4 linked regions of the Saccharomyces cerevisiae S288C genome follow. The protein of the gene in region 1 purifies or fractionates together with the protein of each later gene. This does not show direct contact. Each region holds a gene or a part of one and is shown in the gene's direction. Other genes may lie near its edges. The genes, in order: NOC4, KRE33, ENP2 and UTP22.

What was found.
Region 2: the proteins of NOC4 (region 1) and KRE33 purify together in Saccharomyces cerevisiae (affinity purification with mass spectrometry; 9 studies listed by BioGRID, with this or other methods). This does not show direct contact.
Region 3: the proteins of NOC4 (region 1) and ENP2 purify together in Saccharomyces cerevisiae (affinity purification with mass spectrometry; 6 studies listed by BioGRID, with this or other methods). This does not show direct contact.
Region 4: the proteins of NOC4 (region 1) and UTP22 purify together in Saccharomyces cerevisiae (affinity purification with mass spectrometry; 8 studies listed by BioGRID, with this or other methods). This does not show direct contact.

The regions. Positions count from the first base shown.
Region 1 is NC_001148.4:817,398-824,301, reverse strand, and holds NOC4 (ribosome biosynthesis protein NOC4), read left to right. Parts: upstream 1-2,878; coding exon 2,879-4,537; downstream 4,538-6,904. Other genes in the region: ASN1 (asparagine synthase (glutamine-hydrolyzing) 1), read right to left, coding at 1-1,682; rRNA-processing protein RRP15, read right to left, coding at 5,227-5,979; KAR3 (Kar3p), read left to right, coding at 6,379-6,904. UniProt on the Saccharomyces cerevisiae protein: Involved in nucleolar processing of pre-18S ribosomal RNA and ribosome assembly. Has a role in the nuclear export of 40S pre-ribosomal subunit to the cytoplasm.
Region 2 is NC_001146.8:372,228-378,991, forward strand, and holds KRE33 (ribosome biosynthesis protein KRE33), read left to right. Parts: upstream 1-3,093; coding exon 3,094-6,264; downstream 6,265-6,764. Other genes in the region: YNL134C (uncharacterized protein), read right to left, coding at 224-1,354; FYV6 (Fyv6p), read right to left, coding at 1,944-2,465; TOM22 (Tom22p), read left to right, coding at 6,540-6,764. UniProt on the Saccharomyces cerevisiae protein: RNA cytidine acetyltransferase with specificity toward both 18S rRNA and tRNAs. Catalyzes the formation of N(4)-acetylcytidine (ac4C) at positions 1280 and 1773 in 18S rRNA.
Region 3 is NC_001139.9:777,894-785,617, forward strand, and holds ENP2 (ribosome biosynthesis protein ENP2), read left to right. Parts: upstream 1-3,873; coding exon 3,874-5,997; downstream 5,998-7,724. Other genes in the region: THI4 (thiamine thiazole synthase), read left to right, coding at 2,506-3,486; ECL1 (Ecl1p), read right to left, coding at 6,330-6,965; YGR146C-A (uncharacterized protein), read right to left, coding at 7,383-7,544. UniProt on the Saccharomyces cerevisiae protein: May be involved in rRNA-processing and ribosome biosynthesis.
Region 4 is NC_001139.9:658,806-667,825, forward strand, and holds UTP22 (rRNA-processing protein UTP22), read left to right. Parts: upstream 1-3,552; coding exon 3,553-7,266; downstream 7,267-9,020. Other genes in the region: NNF2 (Nnf2p), read left to right, coding at 1-965; U4/U6-U5 snRNP complex subunit PRP31, read left to right, coding at 7,536-9,020. UniProt on the Saccharomyces cerevisiae protein: Involved in nucleolar processing of pre-18S ribosomal RNA and ribosome assembly.

The DNA.
Region 1 (6,904 bases):
CCAGAAGGATCTTCAGCACAACCCCAGTCGGCCTTTGGAATCCATCTCATAACGGTGTCAGCCACGGTCTTTTGAGGGAACAAAGCATCGAATTTTAGTCTGTACCAGAAAGCCTCTTTTGTGGTTGGAATGTCACTACCCCATTCGGCCTTTGGACTGGCAAACATTTCATCTGAAATGACTGCTTCGGCGGTATCTTTTAATCCGTCGATCCAGGAGTAACCAACACCGTCGGAAAATTGTTCTTTTTGTCTCCATAAAATTTCTTCTGGTAAATATGGCTTAGCATCTGGTTCTCCTGTGGTGTCGAATGCCTTCCTTAGAATGTACTTTTCAATACGTCCTTCCTTTGGTTTAATCATCTTTTCATTTGGATCGATGTTCATACACAATTGCAAAAATTCTCTGTCTAAGAATGGAACACGAGCTTCTAGACCCCAAGCCATCGTAGACTTGTTAGCTCTCAAACAATCTGCCAAATGCAAGTTCTTGACACGTTGCACGGATTCAGTGTGAAATTCTGCCGCAGAAGGAGCTTGTGCGAAATATAGATAACCACCGAAGATTTCATCGGAACCTTCACCGGAAAGAACCATCTTGACCCCTTGGGCCTTAATCTTTCTGGATAGTAAGAACATTGGAGTGGAAGCTCTGATAGTGGTAACGTCGTAAGTTTCCAAATGGTAGATCACGTCGTCCAAAGCATCCAAACCTTCTTGTAATGTAAAGGTGTGTTCATGATGAATAGAGCCGATGAATTTGGCAACCTTTCTTGCGGCTTGCAAATCTGGAGCATTTGGTAAACCGATGGCAAAGGAATGGAGACTTGTCCAACCAGCAGTGTGTAGCTTACCGTCATCGTCGATACCTGCTAGATGTCTTGCCTTACTATCGTAAGTTGATGGTTCGACATCGTTAGTGGCCTTTGCAGTTTCACGGGCAGCAATGGAAGCGATTAAAGAGGAGTCCAAACCACCCGACAATAGAACACCGTATGGGACTTCGGCCATTAATCTCTTTCTAACGGCTTTTTCTAAGGAGTGTCTAATTGCCATGTAATCTATTGGGGTGGAAGGAATGCGTTTTTCGTCCAGCCAATCTGGTGTGAAGTAACGGGTGATCTTGTCAGTCTTAGAATCGTATACGTGGCCCGGTGGGAATGCAGTGATAGTGTCACAGTCGTCAGTCAAACATTTTAGTTCGGATGCAAAATAAACGGTCTTTGGAGAAGCGGAAGAGCGTCCCATATATAATGTCGTAATACCGATTGGGTCTCTGGCTGCCACAATACGATCTTGTTTAGCGTCGTAAAGAGTCCAAGCAAACATACCATCCAAGTACTTAGGAGCGTCGATATCGTGCTTTAAGTACATTGGGATGATAGGCTCACAGTCACTCAGTGTTCCAAACTCGTAGTCTGCGCATTCTTCTCTTAATTGAATGTGGTTGTAGATTTCACCGTTAACACATAGCATGTACTCTCCGTCTGAAGAAGTAATTGGTTGAGCACCGGATTCCACACCGACAATGGCTAGTCTTTCATGAACAAATATAGTGGAGTTCTTGATAGCATTACCGGACCAATCTGGACCACGGTGTCTGATTCTTTTTGATAGTTGTAGAGCCTTTGGCTTATATCTATGCACGTCTTCGTGCCTGAAAGCGGCGAAAATACCACACATCTTAAGTTACGTCCGATTTATATCCTTAGCGTAAAGCAAGTTATACTTTTTCTTATTTTATTATGTAAAGGTAAGAAGAGTATGCGATCAGGGTCCAAACAGAATCTGTCTCCTAGTGGCGTTCACTATAGGGTTATATATGCGTATCTATAAATGCGCATAAATTCAAGAACGAACTATTTGTCATCTCGAGTGGGCAGCAAATTTTCAGTTTACAGAATGAGTCAAATGTTACATGAGTTAAGGCTCTTTTCCTTGTGCTCTCTCTCTCTGTCTGAGCCTGCCAAATGATAACAGTCATAGGCCCTGTACCTAATTTGCCGTCCACGGCAGCAGTACTGCTGCCGTGTGATTGGTGGATAGATAGTGCCAGCGATAAGAAACGGTAGTTGATGCCCGAAGGTGCTTTCCAGCGCAGAAAGACAGACCCCAGGCGTATTTGCGCTCACGTTGCACGAACACGGGCGGCATTCGTGATGACAATAGATTTAATTTAGATATGCACTGGTTTCCACAGAGACCAATCGACAGTCTTCCATGCAAGGTCACTTATTGTTAACGGCAAGTTTCCCTGGATGTCCGCTTTAAAACTGTTTCGGCACGGTTTAAAGGACACAAGTTTTGACTAGTCTACAATTTAAGAACATATAAAAAGCTACTTGTGTACAGATGAGATGACTACTCCCAAGTCAAAAACAACAAAAGAATGAAAGAAAAAAGAATCAGAATTTTATAAAAGCGTCCTTGTCATTCTTAAGAATGTAACAAGATCAATGGGTTGCGCAGGAACCGCTATCTCCATTAAAACCTCAGATCGCTCCGAGAAGAATTGTTCGATTTGAAACGCAAATAATATCATCGTATTCTTTTAAAAACTTGGAAGGTCATTGGTTTCTTTAAATGAAACCTCCAAAGAAAATCTAACGCGTCTTGGTAAAATATATGTACCGAGTGTTTCGCTTTTTATACCTGTTAAATGAAAATCGAAAAAAAAGAAAAAGAAAAAAGTTTTTCAGCACTTCTCTACGGGTAATCCTCGTATTTGAAGGTTTAGGGCTATTCTTGAAATTTTTCACTAAAATTTTCCAACTGAGAAAAAAAAAAGTGTATTACGGTTTTGATGAGATGAGATGAGATGTAATTATCATCCTCTATTGCCATGAAGAGAGATCTATTAAAAAGAAACGTCAAAGAATATGGTATTGCTTATATCAGAAATTAAAGATATTGCCAAGAGGCTGACTGCTGCGGGTGACAGAAAGCAGTACAACTCCATTATCAAGTTAATCAATGAACTAGTGATTCCAGAAAATGTTACTCAATTGGAAGAAGATGAGACAGAAAAAAATTTGAGATTTCTGGTTATGTCGCTATTCCAGATATTTAGAAAGCTGTTTTCCCGCGGCGACTTGACCCTTCCTTCGTCCAAAAAGAGCACATTAGAGAAGGAACAGTTTGTTAATTGGTGTAGAAAGGTGTATGAAGCGTTCAAGACGAAGCTGTTAGCTATCATTTCGGACATACCTTTCGAAACATCACTTGGGTTAGATTCGCTTGATGTCTATCTTCAACTTGCAGAGCTGGAATCAACTCATTTTGCATCTGAAAAGGGCGCACCATTTTTCCCCAATAAAACATTCAGAAAGTTAATCATCGCCCTATGGTCCTCGAACATGGGTGAAATAGAGGATGTCAAAAGCTCGGGTGCGTCTGAAAATTTAATCATAGTAGAATTCACGGAAAAATATTATACGAAATTTGCAGATATTCAATACTACTTTCAATCAGAATTTAACCAACTATTAGAGGATCCAGCCTACCAGGACTTGCTTTTGAAAAACGTTGGTAAATGGTTAGCTTTAGTAAATCATGACAAACATTGCTCTAGTGTTGATGCAGATTTAGAGATCTTTGTACCAAATCCCCCACAAGCCATAGAGAACGAGTCCAAATTCAAGTCCAATTTCGAGAAAAATTGGTTATCCCTTTTAAACGGCCAATTGTCTTTACAGCAGTATAAGTCTATTCTGTTAATTTTGCATAAGAGAATAATACCTCATTTCCACACTCCAACTAAACTAATGGATTTCCTTACTGATTCCTACAATTTGCAAAGCTCTAATAAAAACGCCGGTGTTGTTCCGATCTTGGCTCTGAATGGCCTTTTTGAATTGATGAAAAGATTCAACTTGGAATATCCAAATTTTTATATGAAACTTTATCAAATTATAAATCCAGACTTAATGCATGTTAAATACAGAGCAAGATTTTTCAGGTTAATGGACGTATTTTTGTCATCAACACATTTATCCGCCCATTTAGTAGCATCTTTCATCAAAAAGCTAGCCAGACTCACCCTAGAATCACCACCCTCTGCTATTGTCACCGTGATTCCCTTCATCTATAATTTAATCAGGAAACATCCGAATTGTATGATTATGCTGCACAACCCAGCCTTCATTTCCAACCCATTCCAGACACCTGACCAAGTGGCGAACTTGAAAACTCTGAAAGAAAACTATGTAGATCCCTTCGATGTTCATGAATCGGACCCTGAGTTAACTCATGCACTGGATTCCTCTCTGTGGGAGCTGGCGTCATTGATGGAACATTATCATCCTAATGTAGCCACGTTGGCGAAGATATTTGCTCAACCATTTAAGAAGCTAAGTTATAACATGGAAGATTTCTTAGACTGGAACTATGATTCTTTGCTCAATGCAGAATCTTCAAGAAAGTTGAAGACACTTCCTACGTTAGAATTTGAGGCTTTCACAAACGTTTTTGATAATGAAGACGGCGATAGCGAAGCGTCATCCCAAGGTAACGTCTACTTGCCTGGGGTAGCATGGTGAAAGCGAAGATGAACAACGAAGTTTTAAAAGTGTGTATATATACATTTATATCAACAGAGTCATCGATTTCCCTTGTTTGAGATGTAAAAAAAAAAAAAAATAGAAAATAGTAAGTCCCTGTTATCAATTTTGCCTAGGAAAAAAACCTGGGTCAAAAATAAATGGTCTCTAGCGGGATCGAACCGCTGATCCCCGCGTTATTAGCACGGTGCCTTAACCAACTGGGCCAAGAGACCATTCTATTGTTGAAGATTGTTTAATTTAGATAAACTTTCATAATGTTGAGAATTGCTTATTGCGATATATAAAGTTGAACCAAAGATCAATTTCTTTTTATGTATTGTAGAGAATTACAATTTGAAAAAGAGCTAAGGGAAATTGCTATATTCTAAAAGAAGTGCACAAGTACATTACCTTGAATTTTTATATTTATTCATGATATATTAATATTAATATATCGATGGTGAAGGACACCACACCTGTATTTCTTTGATTGAAAACAATTTTGTAACATTGGCTGCAAAAGTTTTTGCAATTGATATGAAACTATATGATAATATAGAATGCAAACAAAATTCAATTGCAAGGAGGAGGGAAGATATAGGGCCCCTTTCTCGCTTGACATAGACTAAATAATATACAGTTTTTATTTCTTTATTTTTTTTCTTCTTTTGACATGAACATGTTGATTATTCATTGTCGCTTCCTGCGGCAGCTTTAACTAAATCCAAAAATTTTTCTTTGGAAACTTCAGTGATCAATTCTTTCTTTTCTTCTTTATTCTTAATTTCGCTTAAATTTTCGGATACTTCCTTTTCTGTCTTGACTTGAGTTGCTAAAATGGCGTTAAATAATTTCACGGCACCTTTTTGAGCTATCTTTCTGAGCGCTGTCTCCTTCTCAAGGACTTTTCTAATATTTTCTGACCTGTCTTCTCCGGAAGCAATTGGAATAATATCCGTCTTTCTGGCTTTACCTAATAACTTTTTTTTTTCTGCCAACAATGCTTTTTTGGCCTTGTATTCTAGCTTTTCTGACTCACTTTGCTTCAGCACCTTTTTGTTTCTAGCCATGATGGGGTCCTTCCTGTCGTATGCTTTCAGATGTGATGATAAAATAGCATTTACTGCAGCAGAAAATCCAGTAGAACCATCATCATGTTTGCTGTTTTTCGATTTTTTCTTTCTTGGGAAGTCGTCGTCCTCTTCTTCTTCATCATCATCTTCTTCAGCATCACTTTGTTCGTTATCTATAATTTTAGATGATTCATCGCTAGAGCTATTCTGCTCGTCTTCTTCGGCTTCATCACCTTCCATTATTGTATCTTTTTCCGGCTCATTACTTAACTCTTGGTTGCCACTATTCCTTTTTTCACGCCCAAATTCTGCATTCTTTCTGGTTCTTTTCTTATCCTTAGTGTCTACTCTGTGCTTGGAGCCCATGATCAATTATGTACTGATTTTCCTTCGGCTTCTCTATCGCTTTATTCATAGCATCTGTTTATTACCTTTCCTTATATCTTATGGGCATCGAATCCTAGATTTTTTTCTTTCAAAATTTTCCAATAAGAGGGTAATGGAGATACACCAAAATGAATCTCAAACAAAATCAAAACAAACACTGTTTACAATTTGATGCGCCTCGAATCAAAATATGATGATGAGTATTACAGCTAAAAAAATTATCGAATATTATATAAGCATTAAAGCTATCAATTTTTCCGCTCTTTGTGTTTCTTATTATTCTATTTGAATATACCAGAACAACTATCCGGAGTCTTTGTTTAAAAAAGGTAGATTTTGAAATAAAGGACTTAGAGAAATTCTGGCAACTATTAAACTATGGAATCACTTCCACGTACTCCCACAAAAGGCAGATCTACGCAGCATCTCTCGACACCATCGCCGAAGAATGATATTTTAGCTATGAATGGCCACAAAAGAAGAAATACAACAACTCCACCGCCTAAGCACACTCTTCTGAAGCCGCAACGTACGGATATTCATAGACACTCATTAGCTAGTCAGAGTCGCATATCCATGTCACCTAATCGCGAGCTTTTAAAGAATTATAAAGGTACAGCAAATTTGATTTATGGAAACCAGAAAAGCAACTCCGGTGTAACTTCCTTTTATAAAGAAAATGTTAATGAACTCAATAGAACACAAGCAATCTTATTTGAGAAAAAGGCAACACTAGATTTACTCAAAGATGAACTAACAGAAACGAAAGAGAAAATCAATGCCGTTAATCTCAAATTTGAAACCCTTCGTGAAGAAAAGATAAAAATTGAACAGCAACTGAATTTGAAAAACAATGAACTTATCTCGATTAAAGAAGAATTTTTGTCAAAGAAGCAGTTCATGA
Region 2 (6,764 bases), on another chromosome or scaffold:
ATTACTTGTTTTGATTGATTTTTTGCTTATACTCGAGTTTAGGTGAAAGGCCTTACTTTAAGCTTTCACGAGTTTATCCACCAAATTCTTTCAACGACGTCTCTCTTCCGGCAATTTTTTTTGCCCGAAAAAGACTAAGGCGGGTGAGGGGAATTGAACGGCACTATAATGTGGAGGTAAACAGAATGATCAAGCGCTATATACATAAGTAGCTATAGATTATTTATTTCAAGACGGCAACCAACTTTTCGCCAGAATTCCTCCCGTGCTTAATATCATCAAGTAACTGTGGGATATCATCTAACCCGTTCTTGTAAACTTTCACTGGGATGTGGTGGATTTCACCATCATTGATTTTTGGATTGATGAACTTAATAAATTTTATGGCGGCTTCCTTGTATTCAGGGTCTGCTGGCAAAGTAAACGTGCCAAATGGGACGTCGTTACCTCCTATCAAATATAGAAGGGTTCCTTCAATACTGACGTTTTGCCTCCTGTCTTCCTCCTTGATATCTTTTTCGGTTAAAACGGTCAATTGAACGACCGTAGCGTCTAAGTCATCAGCGGCACATTTGTACACCTGTTGAATAGTTTCTGTGTTGGAGACACAGTCCACCAAGTAAGGAATGTTGTTGTACTTCTTTTTTATCTGTTCGATAACGTCAGCATCGTGGTAGTCAAAAAGTTCATCTGCACCGTACTCTTTCAACAATTTTTCATGTTTACGAGAAGCAACGACGATGATCTTGCTGAAACCGTTTAGTTTTTTTGCCAATTGAATAAGCATCTGGCCAACAGCAGTGGCACCACCCCAAAATAAGATGGGTTGATCTCTTTGCGCTTTGGAGGGCTTCCATGTCATGTCCAAGCCAAAACTATGTGTAAGGATCATACCAGCCGTGGTCAATGAGACTGGGAGGGATACTGCCCCTTCTAAAGATTTTACGGGGCCTTCTGGTAGCTTGTCTTTACCGCACAATCTAAACTCTCTGGCTGGTTTATAAGCAGTCTCGGATGAAATGGCAGAGTACTCAGCAAAGGCACCGTTTGAGGGGAACCTCACTGAAGCACCGTGAATAACCCCATAAATGTAATCACCAATGGCAAAGCGTGCAGCATCAACATTTGGGCCCAACTTTACGATTTGGCCGGCTGCATCACAGCCTAAGAGGGCACCTTGAGGACCAATCTTGAAATCAATATGTTTCCAATCGGTAGGGTTACCGGCAACGGCGACAGTCTTAATTAGAACAAATCCTTCTTCTAATTCAGGAATTGGAATGTCCTGTTTGACTACAGCCTTGCCATTTTCAATGACAACGGCTTTCATGGTTTCTGGAATCGAGGCGGACATGCTTGATATGCAGTATGATATTGCTTTTTGCTGTGTATAGTTAACGATTTTTTTTCAACTAGAATTACAGTACTAATCAAGAAGTGAGAGGAAGAAAACGGCAAAAAAAAAACTCTCTCCTTTTAAATCGAAGCATTGCCGAAATACCTTAAAAACGGTCTTAAATCCTTAACATCTGTCCTTACTAATCGATGCCAATCCAACGGAGGGAGCCCATATGCTAGGTACTAAGAGTACGCAGGGGCGGAACCGCGCGACAACCGTAAGCGGATCCGAGGAACTTTAGTCAGCAGGGGCTGTGATGACCATTAAAAAATTGCGGACACAGGTAGTGGAACGAGCAATCAATGTGATCAATTTGCCATTTCATTCCACGAAATGGTTTCCATTCTAAGCATGAATGCTTTGACGTTACGGGTGTTGGTTATTTCGGTTCTTTTTATTGCTTCCGTGGGCACGTACGAGAAGGGAAGATGAATAGAAAAAGAGTTTCCGAGTTTTGTATGTCCAATGTTTACATAATTTATATAACTTGAAGTTTAATCTTGGCATAAAGCTCTAGTTGTGACGAAGTGTGTAGGCCATCACATCAGTTCTCCAGTTTTCTACCCAATTTTTTTATGGATACCTTGATTTTTGGTTTAGGGCTGGATGTCTTTACGCCCTTTATTTGTGTTTTACTGCCCAAACTAGTGCCGGTCTCTAAATATTTTTCTGTATTAGTAGTAGAATCGTTCTCCATTAGTAATGCTTTTTTTTTCTTTTCAAAATTGATTGCCTTGACGTCTAAGTAGTTATTCAGTTCTTTTTCCTTTTTTAGCAACTCATTCTTGCTCTTCTGGTAAAATTCCAGGTCCTCTTTACTCAACCTAGTAAAACTTTCACGGTCTCTCACCAAACCGTTATATTGTTTTTGTTTACTAATAGCATTAGACCTAAGCTGATCTCGCAGGGACTTCCTGGTTTTCCTTTTATATTCCGCTTCATATTTTTTTTGCTCCACTTGCTCTCGTATCCTCTGGGCCTCTACATTACCAACTCCTTCTGACACGAATTTCAGTGGTTTTTTCTCTCTTGCACTATTAGCATTATTATCACTGGTAGATGACATGATGATATAACAGAGCCCACAGTCTTTTGTTGGAACCGCTTTCTCTAGGCTTCGATGGACTTACATCTAATTGCACATTCTCGTGCGTTTAAACGTCATTTTTCCCTCAGATTGGCAGTGCATCAAAAGTAATTCCTAGGGACGACAAAAAGGCGGAAAAGGTTTCAGAAAAATAAGCGGACTTAGCTCAGTTGGGAGAGCGCCAGACTGAAGAAAAACTTCGGTCAAGTCATCTGGAGGTCCTGTGTTCGATCCACAGAGTTCGCAATTTGAAAAATTTTTTTTAATGATTACGCATGTGGATGTGTTCAGTATCAACCGATGCTCGCTTTTCCAATCAAATGATACAAGCCAGACCGAACATTGCATGTTTTCCATTGTAACTTCCCAGGTATATCTGAATTAGTTGTAAAAAGTAATAGTTTACCCGGAATCGTGTGAAAAATTTTGAAAAAAAAAAATGAAGAGCCAAGATACAATGAGATGAGATGAGGTGCTGAAGATGCATGGAGATTCTGTATTTATCTCAAATAAAGTACGCAATAGAGTATATAAGCCAAGTCACCTTTTATATTTCTTAGTTTTTAACTTGCAAAGACTTATAAGAGACTTATAAAACAAGGAGAAAATGGCCAAAAAAGCTATCGATTCAAGAATCCCGTCACTGATCAGGAATGGTGTTCAAACCAAACAAAGGTCCATATTTGTCATCGTTGGGGACAGGGCACGTAACCAGCTCCCAAATTTACATTATTTGATGATGAGTGCTGACCTTAAGATGAACAAGTCCGTCTTATGGGCTTATAAGAAGAAGCTTCTAGGATTCACTTCGCACAGAAAAAAAAGAGAGAATAAAATTAAGAAAGAAATTAAAAGAGGTACAAGGGAAGTGAATGAAATGGACCCTTTTGAATCTTTTATCTCTAACCAAAATATCAGATATGTATACTACAAAGAGAGTGAGAAAATATTGGGTAATACCTATGGTATGTGTATTCTTCAGGACTTCGAGGCATTAACCCCAAATCTTTTAGCAAGAACCATTGAAACTGTAGAAGGTGGTGGTATTGTGGTTATTTTATTGAAATCAATGTCATCGTTAAAGCAACTGTACACCATGACTATGGATGTTCACGCCCGTTATCGTACTGAGGCTCATGGTGACGTTGTTGCAAGATTTAACGAAAGATTCATACTTTCTTTAGGTTCAAATCCAAACTGTTTAGTCGTTGATGATGAATTAAATGTTCTACCGCTATCTGGTGCCAAAAACGTGAAACCACTACCTCCTAAGGAAGATGACGAATTGCCTCCAAAGCAATTAGAGTTGCAAGAATTAAAAGAATCCTTAGAAGATGTCCAACCAGCTGGTTCATTGGTTTCTCTATCCAAAACTGTCAATCAAGCCCACGCTATTCTTTCTTTCATTGATGCCATTTCGGAAAAAACTTTGAATTTCACAGTTGCACTAACAGCTGGAAGAGGTAGAGGTAAGTCTGCTGCTTTAGGTATTTCTATTGCCGCGGCCGTTTCTCACGGGTATTCTAATATTTTTGTTACTTCTCCATCTCCCGAAAATTTAAAGACTCTATTTGAGTTTATTTTCAAAGGATTCGATGCCTTAGGTTACCAAGAACACATTGATTATGATATCATTCAATCTACGAACCCCGACTTCAACAAAGCCATTGTGAGAGTTGATATTAAAAGAGATCACAGACAAACGATTCAATATATTGTTCCTCAAGACCATCAAGTTCTGGGCCAAGCTGAATTAGTTGTCATTGATGAAGCTGCAGCTATTCCTTTGCCAATCGTCAAGAACTTGCTGGGCCCATATCTAGTCTTCATGGCATCCACTATCAATGGTTACGAAGGTACGGGTAGATCTTTATCTCTGAAGTTAATTCAGCAATTGCGTAATCAAAACAACACATCCGGTCGGGAAAGTACTCAAACCGCCGTTGTTTCGAGAGATAATAAGGAAAAAGACTCTCACTTACATTCTCAATCCCGTCAATTACGTGAAATTTCCTTGGACGAACCAATCAGATATGCTCCTGGTGACCCAATTGAAAAATGGTTAAACAAGCTCTTATGTTTAGATGTTACTTTAATTAAAAACCCAAGATTTGCAACAAGAGGAACTCCTCACCCATCCCAATGTAATCTATTTGTTGTCAATAGAGATACTCTATTTTCTTATCATCCTGTCTCAGAAAATTTCCTGGAAAAAATGATGGCACTGTACGTTTCATCCCATTACAAGAATTCTCCAAACGACTTACAACTGATGAGTGACGCCCCAGCGCACAAACTATTTGTTCTTTTACCACCAATTGATCCAAAGGATGGCGGCAGGATCCCTGACCCTCTATGTGTCATTCAAATTGCATTGGAAGGTGAAATCAGTAAGGAGAGTGTCAGAAATTCATTATCGAGAGGCCAAAGAGCTGGTGGTGATTTAATCCCATGGCTGATCTCTCAACAATTCCAAGACGAGGAATTCGCTAGTTTGAGTGGTGCTCGTATCGTCAGAATTGCCACTAATCCTGAATACGCATCCATGGGCTATGGTTCTCGTGCAATTGAATTACTGAGAGACTATTTCGAGGGTAAATTCACTGACATGTCTGAAGATGTTCGTCCTAAGGATTATTCTATAAAGAGGGTGAGCGATAAGGAACTGGCCAAAACTAATTTATTAAAGGATGACGTTAAATTAAGAGACGCAAAAACGTTGCCACCTCTACTATTAAAACTTTCTGAACAGCCTCCTCATTATCTACATTATTTGGGTGTTTCATATGGTTTAACGCAATCGTTGCATAAATTCTGGAAGAATAACAGCTTTGTTCCTGTTTATTTACGTCAAACCGCAAACGATTTAACTGGTGAACATACTTGTGTTATGTTGAACGTTTTGGAAGGCAGAGAATCAAACTGGCTCGTTGAATTTGCCAAAGATTTCCGTAAAAGATTTCTGTCGCTTCTTTCTTATGATTTTCATAAGTTTACTGCCGTTCAAGCCTTAAGTGTCATTGAAAGTAGTAAGAAAGCACAAGATTTGTCTGATGACGAAAAGCATGATAATAAAGAATTGACGCGGACGCATCTGGATGACATTTTTTCTCCATTTGACTTGAAAAGATTGGATAGCTACTCAAATAATTTGCTAGATTATCACGTTATCGGTGATATGATACCCATGCTTGCTCTTTTGTACTTCGGCGATAAAATGGGAGATTCAGTAAAACTATCAAGCGTCCAGAGTGCTATCCTGTTGGCTATAGGGTTACAGCGTAAAAACATCGACACTATTGCCAAGGAATTGAATTTACCTTCCAATCAAACTATTGCTATGTTTGCGAAGATCATGAGAAAAATGTCTCAGTACTTCCGTCAGCTGTTAAGCCAATCAATTGAAGAAACTCTACCAAATATCAAAGATGATGCTATTGCTGAAATGGATGGTGAAGAAATCAAAAATTACAACGCTGCAGAAGCACTGGACCAAATGGAAGAAGATTTAGAAGAAGCCGGTTCTGAAGCCGTTCAGGCGATGAGGGAAAAACAAAAAGAGCTAATCAACTCCTTGAACTTAGATAAATACGCCATAAATGATAACAGTGAGGAATGGGCTGAATCTCAAAAATCTTTAGAAATAGCTGCCAAGGCCAAAGGCGTCGTCAGTTTAAAAACTGGTAAAAAGAGAACGACTGAAAAGGCTGAAGATATCTATAGACAAGAGATGAAAGCTATGAAAAAACCAAGAAAGTCTAAAAAGGCTGCAAATTAAGCGTTCTACTCTTTGTCAAACCCTTTTATAGCTAAACGTTTACTTAATTTGTACAATAATATAGAATAGAAACATAGTTGATGTTTGAACCTTTACATATTCCTTTCAATCGTGTCGAGCGATATAAGTATTACGATTATGCCGGCGAAAACTGAACCCGTTTTAGACAATTTCAATCAACATACTCCACTCCGTAGTGAGTAACTTTTGGAGTAATACGAAGTAACCAAAGAGGTCAAAACGGAACTATATACCCCAAAATAAGCATCATTCAAATGGTCGAATTAACTGAAATTAAAGACGATGTCGTTCAATTAGACGAACCACAATTTTCCAGAAATCAGGCCATCGTGGAAGAAAAGGCTTCTGCAACAAACAACGACGTTGTCGATGATGAAGATGACTCTGATAGTGATTTTGAAGATGAATTTGATGAAAATGAAACATTGTTGGACAGAATCGTTGCTTTAAAAGACATTGTCCCCCCAGGTAAGAGACAA
Region 3 (7,724 bases), on another chromosome or scaffold:
TAAATCATATTATTATTCGTTAATGGTTAACTTGCGCTATTTCAAAATTGGAAGGATAGTGTGGTTACAAGCGGTGTTTTTGATGTATGTTTACTGCTAAGAGTATACCGTCCTGTTTACTTTTTTACCTTTTGTTCCGTTATTGATTTTTCGCAGCAAGGTTGAAGCTTCAAATTTGAAAATGAAATTAAGACGTAGAGATGAAAAACAGCGATGAAATTACTTTTTATAGCTTCTTTCCCATCTGACTCCGTTTTATAAACAGGGGTTCTTTAAGGGCTTACAAATAAATATAAACACTAACACATATATATTATTCGACCTACAGTTTTTGCGACCAATGAAGTTTACCTATTTTGAGTTAGTGCTTACGTAGTTTGCTTAAGGTCAAGGTGGTATTAAGCTTGCGCTTTCTCTAAATAATATCATATGGTACAGACAGGGATAAGTACTTCATAATAAACCAATTGCTAGTCCAGTATTTTTGGTACCCTCTTACTGCCGCGAAATTCAACAACTTTTTAACTCGTGAAAGAGGTTAATATTATTATTCATTTTGCTAGAAATACTACTAAACACCCCATTAGGAAGCTGGTAAATTATGAAATCAGCAAAATAAGATCCAACCGGAACGAATTTATTAGAAGCTCAAACACAAGGGTTGATAGTGTGATAAAGGAAAGGGGTGACAACGTGTAGAGGGTAAAACTTATTGATTCCTTTTTGTGGATTCCTATACCCTACAAGAACACTGTTGGATATAGACATTATATGCAATATTAATTATGCGACTGATAGGCTTCGTAATTCCTGCTTGAGTAAAGACAAGAATTTTCATTTCTCATTAACTGTTTTTATTTATAACCTAGGAAAAAAAGGAGCTGAAAATTTGTTGGAATAAAAATCCACTATCTTATATCAACTAGTATTCCTAATGTCAGTATATTGTCATATAAGGCGTTAGATGGTGACATAAGGTATGAAAAGTTGCCATCGAAGTTAGAGGAAGCTGAAATGCAAGCATTGATGTAATAGGATCAATGAATATTAACATATAAAACGATGATAATAATATTTATAGAATTGTGTAGAATTACAGATTCCCTTTTATGGATTCCTAAATCCTTGAGGAGAACTTCTAGTATATCTACATACCTAATATTATAGCCTTAATCACAATGGAATCCCAACAATTACATCAGAACCCACACTCTCTTCAATTATTATGTAGAAATTTCGATTCTATTTTGAGGATTCCTATACCCTCGAGTAGAAATTCTAGTATATCCTACATACCTAACATTATTGCTTTATCAATAATGGAATCCCAACAATTATTGTTACAGGCTACGATATTGCGTATAGAAAAAATGTTGAAAGTTCTTCTGCAAGATACAGGAATCCAAAGGGAATCAATATATCTACCTAATAGTATTATTATTTCTTTTCCATTTTATATGTTTCACTATCCTACTATTTCATCGATCCTCTTATTTAAGCTTTTATTAAACCTAATGACTGTTCTATAACTTTTATGTCCTCTTTTTACATCATAAATGATAATTAATATACTAGTGACATGAATACTAATCGATGGATGGTAGTTTGTTCTTATTCTATCAGGGAAATGCATCAGATAATGGATAAAATGGAAAGAATGGAAAGGAATTGTAACATGCCTATATATGGAAAACGAGCTTTTAGAGCTTTCAAGTTAACCCCGGGCGGTTAGTGTAGTGGTTATCATCCCACCCTTCCAAGGTGGGGACACGGGTTCGATTCTCGTACCGCTCAAGATTACTTTTTTAATTTTCATACTTTTTCTCCTAATATCTTGCAAATCATGACTGAATTGACATTAACTGATGCAAATGGGTGGGAAAAATGCTTATCAACCCCCTAAAAAGTCAACTTCTTCGTTAGTGATTGCTATATGTGGCGTCAAGAATTACAAGAAGCTGGCGAGCTTTCCAAGCCCCTTCAGGATTAACCGTTTTTTACCCTTTTTTTACAAATTTACGGCGGGGAATAATTCTGATACTTTCTCTTTATGAGCATTCCTCAACAGGGATCGGCACTCAATTGCTTTAGTGAATAGTTTTTTTTTACGCCAAGAACATTTACCACCCCATTTTCCTGTAGACGTCCAAAACGATACTCTACTTTAAGCCCTTTTTCTGAAGTTTTCATAAAATGTCCGATCTCCTAACGTCATTTTTAAAATCAAATGGTCTTTTAATAATTATGCACGTTAAAAAACATACATAATTGATAGTAAAGAATCTGGTATTCTATCAGTTACCAAGTTCAATCGTAAATTTTTTTACGAGCACTAATAGAAATGGATCATGAAATTGATTTTTTGATTTTCAATTTATGAACTACCCAGATATATAAATATTGGAATAAATTGTGTATTAAGTAGTCGGGAAATATCTTTTATGTTCTCTTTCTTATCATCTAGAAATAATAAATCACAACCAAAAAAATCAACTAACTATCAAAATGTCTGCTACCTCTACTGCTACTTCCACAAGTGCCTCTCAATTGCACTTAAACTCTACTCCAGTTACTCACTGCTTATCTGACATCGTTAAGAAAGAAGATTGGTCTGACTTTAAATTTGCTCCCATCCGCGAATCCACTGTCTCTCGTGCTATGACTTCTCGTTATTTCAAGGATCTTGACAAGTTTGCCGTTTCTGACGTGATTATTGTCGGTGCGGGCTCTTCAGGTTTATCCGCCGCTTACGTCATCGCCAAGAACAGACCAGACTTGAAGGTTTGTATTATCGAAAGTTCAGTTGCACCAGGTGGTGGTAGTTGGTTGGGTGGTCAATTATTTAGTGCCATGGTTATGAGAAAACCAGCTCATTTGTTCTTACAAGAGTTGGAAATCCCTTACGAAGACGAAGGTGACTATGTTGTCGTTAAGCATGCCGCTTTGTTCATCTCTACTGTCCTTTCAAAGGTCTTGCAATTACCAAATGTTAAACTGTTCAATGCTACCTGTGTTGAAGATTTGGTTACCAGACCACCTACCGAAAAGGGCGAAGTCACCGTTGCTGGTGTTGTCACCAACTGGACGTTAGTTACCCAAGCTCACGGTACTCAATGTTGCATGGACCCTAACGTAATTGAATTGGCAGGTTACAAAAATGACGGAACTCGTGACTTGAGTCAAAAGCATGGTGTCATTTTATCCACTACCGGTCATGATGGTCCATTTGGTGCTTTCTGCGCCAAGAGAATCGTCGACATTGATCAAAACCAAAAATTGGGCGGTATGAAGGGTCTGGACATGAACCATGCCGAACACGATGTCGTTATTCACTCTGGTGCATACGCCGGTGTTGACAACATGTACTTTGCTGGTATGGAAGTTGCTGAACTGGATGGATTAAACCGTATGGGTCCAACTTTTGGAGCTATGGCTTTGAGTGGTGTTCATGCTGCTGAGCAAATTTTGAAACACTTTGCTGCTTAGGCTTTTAATGAGGTATGCTTTTAAAGATTTATATATTTTTTATACACGCTATATACACAATTTTCGCTGATGATTTTGTTTTATTATTGATTTTTAAATTAACCGTAGAAAATACTAAGTGGAAAGATCCGATAGTGATGAGATAAGACTTTTAGTTATCTCTGTAATGGTGAGTTTTCGCACATCTTGCAATATTAAAAATATAAATCAATTCTTCAAATGTCACTTCATGGTCGGGTAACCAAATATGATCTTAAAAAAAATTAAGAAAAAAAAAAATTGAAAATTTTGAGCTAAGCTCATCTCATCTCATCGGCTGTAATCAGTAACACATCATTTATTACATCAGTTACAGGTATCAACATATATCTTCAAAAAGGGGACATTATGGTTTTGAAATCTACTTCCGCAAATGATGTTTCAGTATATCAGGTTTCTGGTACAAACGTTTCAAGATCACTTCCAGACTGGATTGCGAAAAAGCGCAAAAGGCAATTAAAGAATGATTTAGAATATCAAAATAGAGTAGAACTGATTCAAGATTTTGAATTTAGCGAAGCCTCCAATAAGATTAAAGTGAGTAGAGATGGGCAATATTGCATGGCTACCGGTACATACAAACCTCAGATCCATGTCTACGATTTTGCTAATTTGTCACTGAAGTTCGATAGACACACAGATGCTGAAAACGTGGATTTCACTATTCTCTCTGACGATTGGACTAAAAGTGTACATTTACAAAATGATAGAAGTATTCAATTCCAAAACAAAGGTGGTCTACATTACACCACAAGAATTCCTAAATTTGGGAGAAGTTTAGTTTACAATAAGGTAAACTGTGATTTATATGTTGGTGCGAGCGGTAATGAGTTATACAGGTTGAACTTGGAAAAGGGGAGATTTTTAAACCCATTCAAGTTGGATACTGAAGGCGTGAACCATGTTTCTATCAATGAAGTAAATGGGTTGTTAGCGGCAGGCACGGAAACAAATGTAGTGGAATTCTGGGATCCAAGGTCGCGTTCCCGTGTTTCAAAGCTATATTTAGAGAACAATATTGACAACAGACCATTCCAAGTCACCACAACCAGTTTCCGTAATGACGGGTTAACTTTTGCATGTGGTACGTCGAACGGTTATTCATACATTTATGACTTGCGTACTTCTGAACCTTCCATTATTAAAGACCAAGGTTATGGGTTTGACATTAAGAAAATTATTTGGTTGGATAACGTCGGCACGGAAAATAAAATTGTTACATGTGACAAGAGAATTGCAAAAATATGGGATAGACTAGATGGTAAGGCATACGCTTCTATGGAGCCTAGTGTTGATATTAACGACATTGAGCATGTACCAGGTACAGGTATGTTTTTCACCGCTAACGAAAGTATTCCCATGCATACATATTATATTCCAAGTTTAGGACCATCTCCACGCTGGTGCTCATTCTTGGATTCTATCACAGAAGAATTAGAAGAAAAACCAAGTGACACTGTTTACTCTAACTACAGGTTCATTACTAGAGACGACGTTAAAAAATTGAATTTAACGCACTTGGTGGGATCCAGAGTATTAAGAGCATACATGCATGGTTTCTTTATTAACACTGAACTTTACGATAAGGTTTCATTAATTGCTAATCCAGATGCCTACAAAGATGAAAGAGAAAGAGAAATTAGACGTAGAATTGAGAAAGAAAGAGAATCCAGAATCAGAAGTTCAGGGGCTGTTCAAAAACCTAAAATTAAAGTCAATAAAACATTGGTTGATAAACTATCTCAAAAACGTGGTGATAAAGTTGCAGGAAAGGTTCTTACGGATGACCGTTTCAAAGAAATGTTTGAGGATGAAGAATTTCAAGTCGATGAAGATGACTATGATTTCAAACAATTGAATCCAGTAAAATCCATCAAAGAAACCGAAGAAGGTGCTGCTAAACGTATTAGGGCGCTAACTGCTGCCGAAGAGTCCGACGAAGAAAGAATTGCAATGAAGGATGGCAGAGGTCACTATGACTACGAGGATGAAGAGTCTGATGAAGAAGAATCTGATGATGAAACGAACCAAAAGTCAAATAAGGAAGAATTAAGTGAAAAAGATTTGAGAAAGATGGAAAAGCAAAAGGCACTAATTGAACGCAGAAAGAAGGAAAAGGAGCAAAGCGAACGTTTTATGAACGAAATGAAAGCCGGCACTTCCACGAGTACGCAAAGAGACGAAAGTGCTCACGTTACATTTGGCGAACAAGTAGGCGAATTGCTTGAGGTGGAAAATGGAAAGAAATCAAATGAATCCATTTTACGTCGTAACCAACGCGGTGAAGCAGAACTTACTTTTATTCCTCAAAGAAAAAGCAAAAAAGACGGAAATTATAAATCCAGGCGTCATGATAATTCATCGGATGAAGAAGGTATTGACGAAAATGGTAATAAGAAGGACAATGGTAGGTCGAAGCCCAGATTCGAAAATAGAAGAAGAGCTAGCAAAAATGCGTTCCGTGGTATGTAGTTATATTAGAAATTGATATTTTAATTATCCTTTCACCTTAAACTAAAAATATTATATGTATGAAGACGAAGACAGCAAAAAGTATGCGTGATACAGTTTACATTATAGAATTCTTTCCCCAAATATTGAGGGTTTTGTTTTTTTTTTTTAATGCAGATGTACGTACATATTTTCTTTATCAAAAGGATGTGTAGAGAACTATGTATATATGTATATGTGTAGGTTTTTTTTTTTTAGGATGACTAGAAAAGGAAATCGAAAAAGAAAAAATAAGCATGAATCATGAGTAGGTTAAAGGCAAGTCGAAGAAGATACGAAGCAAGTGAAGCCGTTTAACTGGAGGATAGTCTAAACCATAGGTTGTAGTTATTCTCAATGATCTGATCTGAGATCAAATGATCATCAATTAGATCGTTTGATCGTGGCAAGTTGTTTTCGTAACCCAAATGTGCCTTTGAATGCAATTGGTAACTAGAATCGAGTCTAAGAGAGTCGGCTAAGTTCAAATAATGTTCATTTTCATCATATTCGTCAACACGAGAAGGATTAGACTCCTGCTTAGGATTGACTATACCATCCTGAGGTAGCAGCAATGGTGAAATTAATAAGGACTCTAGCTTCTCCAACTCGTCAAAGGGGATAGTTGAAGATGTCGGAGATGAAGATAGTGAGGTAGTCGGCTCGAAGAGGTTTGATGCAGTTAAATTTTTAGAATATGAAAGCGGTGGAGTGAGATTATGCGAATGAGAAGTTTTTGATTTTTTATGCAAGTGGGATAATAATTTCTCATTAAGAGGGTTCGAATCCTTCAGCTTACAATCTTCGGAGCAATATAACTTATTTGATTGTAAACTGCTCTTGGTTTCATTGTCCCTTTGGATCTTCCTGGTATTAATGTTCGTTTTCTGTGGAGATGTTGGAATGAGACGATCACAAACAGTGCAGTAATCGTTGAATGCGGTGCTCATTATATGATTGATATGCAAATCGGTAAAGAATACCTGAAAGGAGTGGAGGGATAAGAATAAAGTAATTATTCTCGAGCTTTTTTTATAAGGAAAAAAAGGAGAATCGGTAGCGGAGTATTGTTTCTCTATTCTTTCTTTGCTTACTCTGTTTTATAATTCTCACAAGTGTTCAATTTTTAACTTCTTGGGACAACACTATAGTTCTAAGTTCTTTAGACAGTTCAAAGACAGTTTACTCAATGGCGATGGCCTGTGTCAATGATTATATTGTATATATATATGTGTCCAAGTATGGATGTGAATGTATCTAAATTTTCCGAAATGCAAGAAATAAAATTCTCACAATTGGGGTGTTGAAACGGAAAAGATCGGTATTCCTTTAAATATAAGAATCACCACGTTTCAGGTCTCCAAGTTCTAGCTAAAGATCGTACAAACAAGTGCCAATTTGGGAAAAAAGGGCGGCCTAATTGTGAAAAAAAAAGATGCCCAACTGAAAGAAGGGCAATGAGCAATAGGGAATGTAAACGAATGCAATAAGAAAGCACACGTTAAATTACACTCAGGGAGGAACCCCATAATAAAAAAGTAAGAAAATTGAATGATCTGAACCCGGTGCGCAAAAGCGATGAGATGGGGCGATGAATGACGGTAATAAACACGGTAGCAAATACACCCGAGTCGTGTGCCCTACATTAAGAAAAAAAGAGATGAAAACTTCTCCTCTATTCCGCGGTAACCTATGGTCACGGCCAGATT
Region 4 (9,020 bases), on another chromosome or scaffold:
TCCATATTGAAAATTTACATGATGGCGAACTCATTGTTTTAGTAAACGGTGTTATCTGGTCAGAAGTTTCTTGCGCTTTAATTTTAGAGCATGTAGGCGAAGAATACGTTGTCGTTAACGGATTAGTCCCTTCTTGTTCTTATGATATTCAATTCATCAACAGACTAAATCACCGAGATGATTATTTGGTTTCTGATTTAATTGTAAGGACTTGTGGGAATAACAATGCGATTGCCGGAAAATTTGAAAACCTTGATTTCAGCTTCCCTTCATACTACCATAGGAAATTCTTATCTCCGTTGCTAACTCTGAAGCATTCCGTGCTAACTACAAACGCAAATTTGTCCGATGAAAGGACAAAATTGAAAAAGACAAAAAAGGAATTCAGCAAGAAGTTAAGTCTTTTGAGACAAGAAATTGATTATTTTAAAGGCAGGATTTCACAGAACGCAACACATGACGAAAAGAGCACTTTAAAAGTCGAAAATTTGAAGGTTGCCCTACAGCAAAGTGAGACTGCGGTAAATAAGTTAGAGATGCAATTGAAAACTCTCACTGAAAAAGAGCTTGAATTAGAAGAGGAATACTTGAAAAAGAAAGATCTACACTTGAAAAATCAATTAGAGTTCAGTAAGTTAGAAGAAAGCTTATCGAAAGACCTGAAAAACTCAGAAGGGAGGTTCCAAAAGGTCAATCAAGAATTAGTTCAACTAGGCTCTAAACTGGACAAATTGAACGCGAGAAACGAGAAGTTACAAAAGGAGGTCGATCAGAACGCAGAAGAGATAGAAAAGTTCAGTACTCAATTTTTGAGTAAAAGAGAAAAGGATAGATTTAGAAGAAAGGAGTACAGGATACGCGAAGCCAATAAATTTGAATTGACTATAAAGGGGTTAGAGCAAGATATCAACAGATTAGAAAATGAGAATGAAAATATACATAGTCTAATTGGTAATAGTTACTGATGGAAGATTAGAAAACAAAGATAGATAAGAATTCGTTTTGTAGCATCCTAAAATTTACTTCTATTGAATATATACATGTATTTATTACTTGGACGTTCTACTTTAAATGTAGTCAGTCGTTTTTTTCTCGATATTGTTTTTTTATTGTTTCCTAATAACTTCATTTGTTACTTTTTTGCCTTTTGTTATTTATGGAAATAATGCAGGTTAACATAAGTAAACATAAAATATGAGAAAAACTAAGAATGTTTGCTGATGTATTGAACAGTTCACATCGTTGTGTCTACTATTAACACTAAGTTGTTGATCAAAACATTCCCTAATTAATAGCTGCCCCAGGACTTGGAAGGCCACACTACTCTCCATGACATCAAAGATACGGCCCAAATAATCTGTATCCTCGATATGAACTTAGGACCACATATTTGGAGCTTGTCCAAAATACTAAAATGGCAGATAACAATTAGATGGTTCCAATTCAAATACATTACAAGCTACGAAAACTAATATTCTATAATTTATACTAAGTTCATGGAAAGAATTGCAATGGATTGAGGTTTCTAACGAGGTTATCACTACCGCAAATATAGAGAGTAAGTTGGTAATATACAACAATAGAATTTAATCAATAACCAATCTCAACATTATTGTATCGTATTTTAACTTATAATTGTGCTCATATCAAGTTTTCTAGGTTACAATTACGACCAATTCTCAGGTTGTTTTGCAAAATTGGCGAAGAGATGGAGGCCTACCACATATTATCACGATTTGATAGGGATAATCTGAGTAACGATTAGTTATTGACGAATCCCTTTAATATAGTTTCCACACGAGAATAGGCGCCTACTAAAGAATTGATGAATCTGCTGGTAATTTCTAGGTTTCCATTATTCGGTAAAATATACGGAATGTATTAGGGGTTCTTCATGACGATCAAAGATCCATGAATGGAGATCGGTATTTTTAAGTAATAGTGCTACTATTTTTTTCCTTTTTGCATTCTGTCGTTCAATATCCTGTTACATTATTAATCTTAGTTTCGGATTCCACTGAAATCAATAACTATATCCCATGGCTTGGGCCTTAATTCTTGTGTCATATACAATAATATGCTAGTGCCGTGAACACTAGCCAATGAAGAAATGATCGTTTTCCAACACATACCGGACGTGGCTCTGATAGTGCTCGACGATGGAAATTTCAGCATGCATACTGATGTATGTCAAGATAACAACTACAGTCCTATCGTCGTGATTATAGGGAATCGACCGCGCCACTGCTATGACAACGGAAAGTTTATCCATGGCCTGCTGATTTTGATGCTGCTGTGGACACGAGAATACCAACACCTGTTCACATCTTCATGTGGATGAACGTAACGAAGTGGATATTTAGGCTCGGTAGCGAATCTTTTGCCGTACCTCCAAATTTATCTTGTATCGATTTTTCCGTCTAGTTGAAACTGTTATTATCCGCCCCTCCAATTTTCTGTAAAGCATAGGTGCTTCTTCAAAGTATCCAATGTATTTCTTAAGCTTATCAAGAAATAACATACTTCGAATACGTCCCAAGTTTTCTGATAACTTTATCATATTCTTTTGGCTAATTGGCGATCGTTTATATACCCCAGTGATTTTGGTTATAAATTTATAATATAGTTCAAACTATCCTTCCTTTAGAACAACTGTAAGCTTTAATTTTGAGCAAGCGCTACCATTTGATATATAGCAAACTAACCAAAATGCTAAGACATCTTCTAGTCTAAAAGTAACTCTTTTTCTGTGTATCTAATTCACATTGTGAATTTGAAAAGTACCCTTATTTGTATATATGTTGGTTTTGATGGTAGGTGACCTCACTTTTCTTTAGAAAATTTGCAATTATAGTTTTAGACAATCCCTTTATGTTTCATGTGCGTATTCATTATTTTTAACAAATTCCTAGTTCTCAAATCTGAGTCTCTTGGTAAAAATTTGCCTCCTTAGCTTAGTGGTAGAGCGTTGCACTTGTAATGCAAAGGTCGTTAGTTCAATTCTGACAGGTGGCATAATTTTATATATCTCTTTTTTTGCTTGTTGTACGGAAGTTCTGTCCATCCGGTGGGCGACCGGTATAGAATTATCGCGCCATCCATGAAGGTTGGCCCAGGGCCGAGTAAAGATTTAGGCAGGACCGGTGGTGGCCACTGCCTGGGAACGTCGGCCTACGGCTCGCTGCATGCCGTTGAAAAATTTCAATTGTAATTTGGAAAATTTAACCAAATGATAATTTCAATATGTACCACTAGCACTTTACGTCAAGAATCTCAAGCAAACCAAAGGGTTTTAATCTTATACTTTTCCATTCTATTTTTTAATAGAATTTAAATCGGCAGCTCTTATACTTGGAAACAGGACGTTTTCATTTTGCTTTTTTGAAGGCCAGATATTTGCTTTCACTTTAAGAACCAACTCCAAGAAATCTTCAAAGTTTCCTTTGTTAGATTTATCCTCTGATTGAATTATTGAAACCACAGGTATAATCACTTTGGGGTAGAACATTATAGTTTTCATAGAAATTTTACAAAGGATCTCCTTCATATACCATGGCTACAAGTGTTAAAAGAAAAGCATCTGAGACTTCTGACCAGAATATTGTTAAAGTGCAAAAGAAACATTCCACACAGGACAGCACAACTGACAACGGATCCAAAGAAAATGATCACAGTAGTCAAGCCATCAACGAGCGTACCGTGCCCGAGCAAGAAAACGACGAAAGCGATACTTCACCTGAAAGTAACGAGGTCGCTACTAACACTGCTGCGACTCGCCACAATGGAAAGGTTACTGCAACAGAGTCCTATGATATTCACATAGCTAGAGAAACGGCTGAATTATTCAAGTCTAATATTTTCAAGTTACAAATTGACGAATTACTGGAGCAAGTGAAGTTAAAACAAAAACATGTTCTGAAAGTCGAAAAATTTCTACACAAGTTATATGATATTCTCCAGGAAATTCCTGATTGGGAGGAAAAGTCATTAGCTGAAGTGGACTCCTTCTTCAAAAACAAGATTGTTTCTGTTCCATTTGTTGACCCCAAACCTATTCCTCAAAATACTAATTATAAATTCAATTACAAGAAACCAGACATCTCCTTAATTGGCTCCTTTGCTCTTAAAGCTGGAATTTATCAACCTAACGGCTCTTCCATTGATACTTTACTAACAATGCCAAAGGAGTTGTTCGAAAAAAAAGATTTCTTAAATTTCAGGTGCTTACACAAGAGGAGCGTTTATTTAGCATACCTAACCCACCACCTATTGATATTATTGAAAAAAGATAAATTAGACTCATTTTTGCAACTCGAGTATTCTTATTTTGATAATGATCCGCTTTTACCAATTTTAAGAATTAGTTGTTCCAAACCAACGGGTGATTCTCTTTCTGATTATAACTTTTACAAGACCAGATTCTCTATCAACTTGCTTATTGGTTTCCCATACAAAGTCTTTGAACCAAAAAAACTGTTACCCAATAGAAACTGTATTAGAATAGCACAAGAAAGCAAAGAGCAATCTTTACCAGCCACTCCTCTTTACAATTTTTCAGTGTTATCTTCTTCAACACATGAAAACTACCTGAAGTATTTATACAAGACGAAGAAACAAACAGAATCTTTTGTTGAAGCTACTGTTTTAGGTAGATTATGGCTGCAGCAACGTGGGTTTTCATCCAATATGTCGCATTCTGGTTCATTGGGTGGATTCGGTACTTTTGAATTTACTATCTTGATGGCAGCGTTATTAAACGGTGGTGGTATAAATAGTAACAAGATATTACTTCACGGGTTTTCATCATACCAATTGTTTAAAGGTGTAATAAAATACTTAGCCACTATGGATTTGTGCCACGACGGCCATTTACAATTTCATTCTAATCCAGAGAATTCCTCCAGTTCACCAGCTTCTAAATATATTGATGAGGGTTTCCAAACTCCAACCTTATTTGATAAGTCAACCAAGGTCAATATTCTTACAAAAATGACTGTTTCTTCTTATCAAATTTTGAAAGAATATGCCGGTGAAACATTGAGAATGCTAAACAACGTTGTTCAAGACCAATTCTCAAATATTTTTTTGACTAATATTAGCCGTTTTGACAATTTGAAGTACGATCTGTGTTACGATGTACAGTTACCTTTGGGTAAGTACAATAATTTAGAAACTTCTTTAGCTGCTACATTTGGGTCAATGGAAAGAGTAAAATTTATTACTCTGGAGAATTTCCTCGCCCACAAGATTACAAATGTTGCAAGGTATGCATTGGGCGATAGAATCAAATATATCCAAATTGAAATGGTTGGTCAAAAGTCCGATTTTCCAATCACCAAAAGAAAAGTGTACTCTAACACAGGAGGTAACCATTTCAACTTTGATTTTGTAAGAGTAAAATTGATTGTTAACCCCTCTGAATGTGACAAATTAGTCACCAAGGGCCCTGCTCATTCTGAAACTATGTCTACAGAAGCAGCCGTTTTTAAGAATTTTTGGGGAATTAAATCTTCCTTAAGAAGATTCAAGGATGGCTCCATCACCCATTGTTGTGTTTGGTCTACATCCTCATCAGAGCCCATCATTTCCTCAATTGTTAACTTTGCATTGCAGAAACATGTTTCAAAAAAGGCACAAATATCAAATGAGACTATCAAGAAGTTTCATAATTTCCTACCGTTGCCAAACTTACCCTCAAGTGCTAAAACATCAGTTTTGAACTTGAGCAGCTTTTTCAACTTAAAGAAATCCTTTGACGATTTATACAAAATAATTTTCCAAATGAAGTTACCGCTTTCTGTAAAATCAATCTTACCGGTTGGCTCTGCATTTAGATACACTTCCTTATGCCAACCAGTACCATTCGCATACTCTGATCCAGATTTCTTTCAAGACGTCATTTTGGAATTTGAAACCTCACCTAAATGGCCAGATGAAATTACTTCCTTAGAAAAGGCTAAAACAGCTTTTCTTCTCAAAATTCAAGAAGAATTAAGCGCTAACTCTTCAACTTATAGGTCGTTTTTCAGCAGAGATGAATCCATCCCATACAATTTAGAAATTGTAACCTTGAACATCTTGACACCTGAAGGTTATGGATTCAAATTCAGAGTTCTAACTGAACGTGACGAAATCCTTTATTTAAGAGCTATAGCGAATGCTAGGAATGAGTTGAAACCAGAATTGGAGGCCACATTCCTAAAATTTACTGCAAAATATCTGGCTTCCGTAAGACATACTCGTACTTTGGAGAATATATCTCATTCGTATCAATTCTACTCCCCTGTGGTAAGACTATTCAAAAGATGGTTGGACACTCATTTATTACTAGGTCATATAACGGACGAATTAGCAGAGTTGATTGCCATTAAACCTTTTGTTGATCCTGCACCATATTTCATTCCAGGTTCTCTTGAAAACGGTTTCCTCAAAGTGCTTAAGTTTATAAGTCAATGGAACTGGAAAGATGATCCATTGATTTTAGATCTAGTAAAACCAGAAGATGATATAAGAGATACATTTGAAACAAGTATTGGAGCTGGCTCAGAGCTAGACTCCAAAACGATGAAAAAGCTTTCTGAAAGATTAACCCTAGCACAATATAAGGGCATTCAAATGAACTTCACGAACTTGAGGAACAGTGATCCCAACGGTACACATTTGCAATTTTTTGTTGCCTCTAAGAACGATCCAAGCGGTATTCTTTATTCATCAGGTATCCCACTACCCATTGCTACAAGGCTTACAGCATTAGCTAAAGTAGCCGTGAATCTTTTACAGACACACGGTTTAAACCAGCAAACTATCAATCTTTTATTCACGCCTGGATTAAAAGATTACGATTTTGTCGTTGATTTGAGGACACCAATAGGTTTGAAATCATCCTGTGGTATACTTTCAGCCACAGAGTTCAAGAATATAACTAACGATCAAGCCCCATCGAACTTTCCAGAGAATTTGAATGATTTAAGTGAAAAAATGGATCCAACATACCAGTTAGTGAAGTATTTGAACTTGAAGTACAAGAATAGTTTGATTTTATCAAGCCGCAAGTATATAGGTGTGAATGGTGGAGAGAAAGGAGATAAAAATGTCATCACAGGGCTAATAAAGCCACTCTTCAAGGGAGCCCACAAATTTAGAGTAAACTTGGATTGCAACGTTAAACCAGTGGATGATGAGAATGTGATTTTAAATAAAGAAGCCATATTTCATGAGATTGCTGCATTCGGGAATGACATGGTTATAAATTTTGAGACAGATTAGAATAAACAACAAAATCATAACTTTTAGAAGTATCTGTATAATATTAAATAATTAAAGCAGCCGGCAGTTTACATAAAGAATATTTTTCTTTAATTCTTTTTTTTAGATGTGGTCCTTTCGGCGATTTGGCACAAGTTAACTTAGTATTTTTAAAAGTTTTGAATAGTACTGCTGTGGCGACGCTCAGAATAAAGCTAGGTAAACGATTTGAACGCCTCAACTAGCACTATTTGATAGCATTTTGGCTGCAGAAAATATACAAAGACCTTATGAGCTCTGAAGAGGACTATTTCGATGAGCTCGAATATGACCTTGCCGATGAAGTTAATGAGGAAAAAGAAGACATACAAACTAAAAAGCTCACTACGGTAAATTGTCAAACAGAAAAATTCAATCCATTCGAAATTCTTCCGGAAAGTATAGAATTATTCAGGACGTTGGCACTCATCAGTCCTGATAGGTTATCTCTATCAGAGACAGCACAGATTTTACCAAAAATTGTCGATTTAAAAAGAATCCTTCAACAACAAGAAATAGATTTCATTAAACTGTTACCGTTTTTTAACGAAATCATCCCCCTCATCAAGAGCAATATAAAATTAATGCACAATTTTCTAATCTCACTGTACAGTAGACGTTTTCCAGAACTATCTTCATTGATACCATCACCATTACAATACTCAAAAGTGATAAGCATACTGGAAAATGAAAATTATTCAAAAAACGAAAGTGATGAACTATTTTTCCACTTGGAAAATAAAGCAAAATTGACCAGAGAGCAGATCCTCGTTTTAACAATGTCCATGAAGACGTCTTTCAAAAACAAAGAGCCATTGGACATCAAAACGAGGACGCAAATTTTAGAAGCAAATAGCATATTGGAAAATTTATGGAAACTACAAGAAGATATAGGTCAATACATAGCCTCAAAGATATCAATAATTGCCCCTAACGTGTGTTTCTTGGTAGGCCCGGAGATAGCAGCCCAATTAATAGCACATGCTGGAGGGGTTTTGGAGTTCAGTCGCATTCCCAGTTGCAACATTGCGTCCATTGGGAAGAATAAGCACCTCTCACATGAGTTACATACATTAGAGAGTGGAGTACGACAAGAAGGATATCTATTTGCTTCTGACATGATTCAGAAATTTCCCGTTTCTGTCCATAAACAAATGCTTAGGATGCTTTGTGCAAAAGTATCACTAGCCGCAAGAGTTGATGCTGGCCAGAAAAACGGTGATAGAAATACAGTTTTAGCTCATAAATGGAAAGCCGAACTATCGAAGAAAGCTAGAAAGCTATCAGAAGCCCCGAGCATTTCTGAAACGAAGGCTCTACCTATTCCGGAGGACCAACCCAAAAAGAAAAGAGCTGGGAGAAAATTTAGGAAGTACAAGGAAAAATTCAGACTATCGCATGTCAGACAATTACAAAATAGGATGGAATTTGGCAAGCAAGAACAAACTGTTCTTGATTCCTATGGTGAAGAAGTTGGTTTGGGTATGTCTAATACTTCTTTACAACAAGCAGTAGGAGCTACATCAGGTTCCAGAAGATCTGCTGGTAATCAAGCCAAGCTAACAAAGGTAATGAAGCACAGGATTTCTGAGGCTAATCAGCAAGCTGACGAATTCCTAATCTCCTTGGGTCATAATACAGAGCAACCGAATCTGTCGCCAGAGATGGTTCAAATGCACAAGAAACAGCATACTAACCCAGAAGAAGAGACCAATTGGTTTTCCGGTCATGGTTAG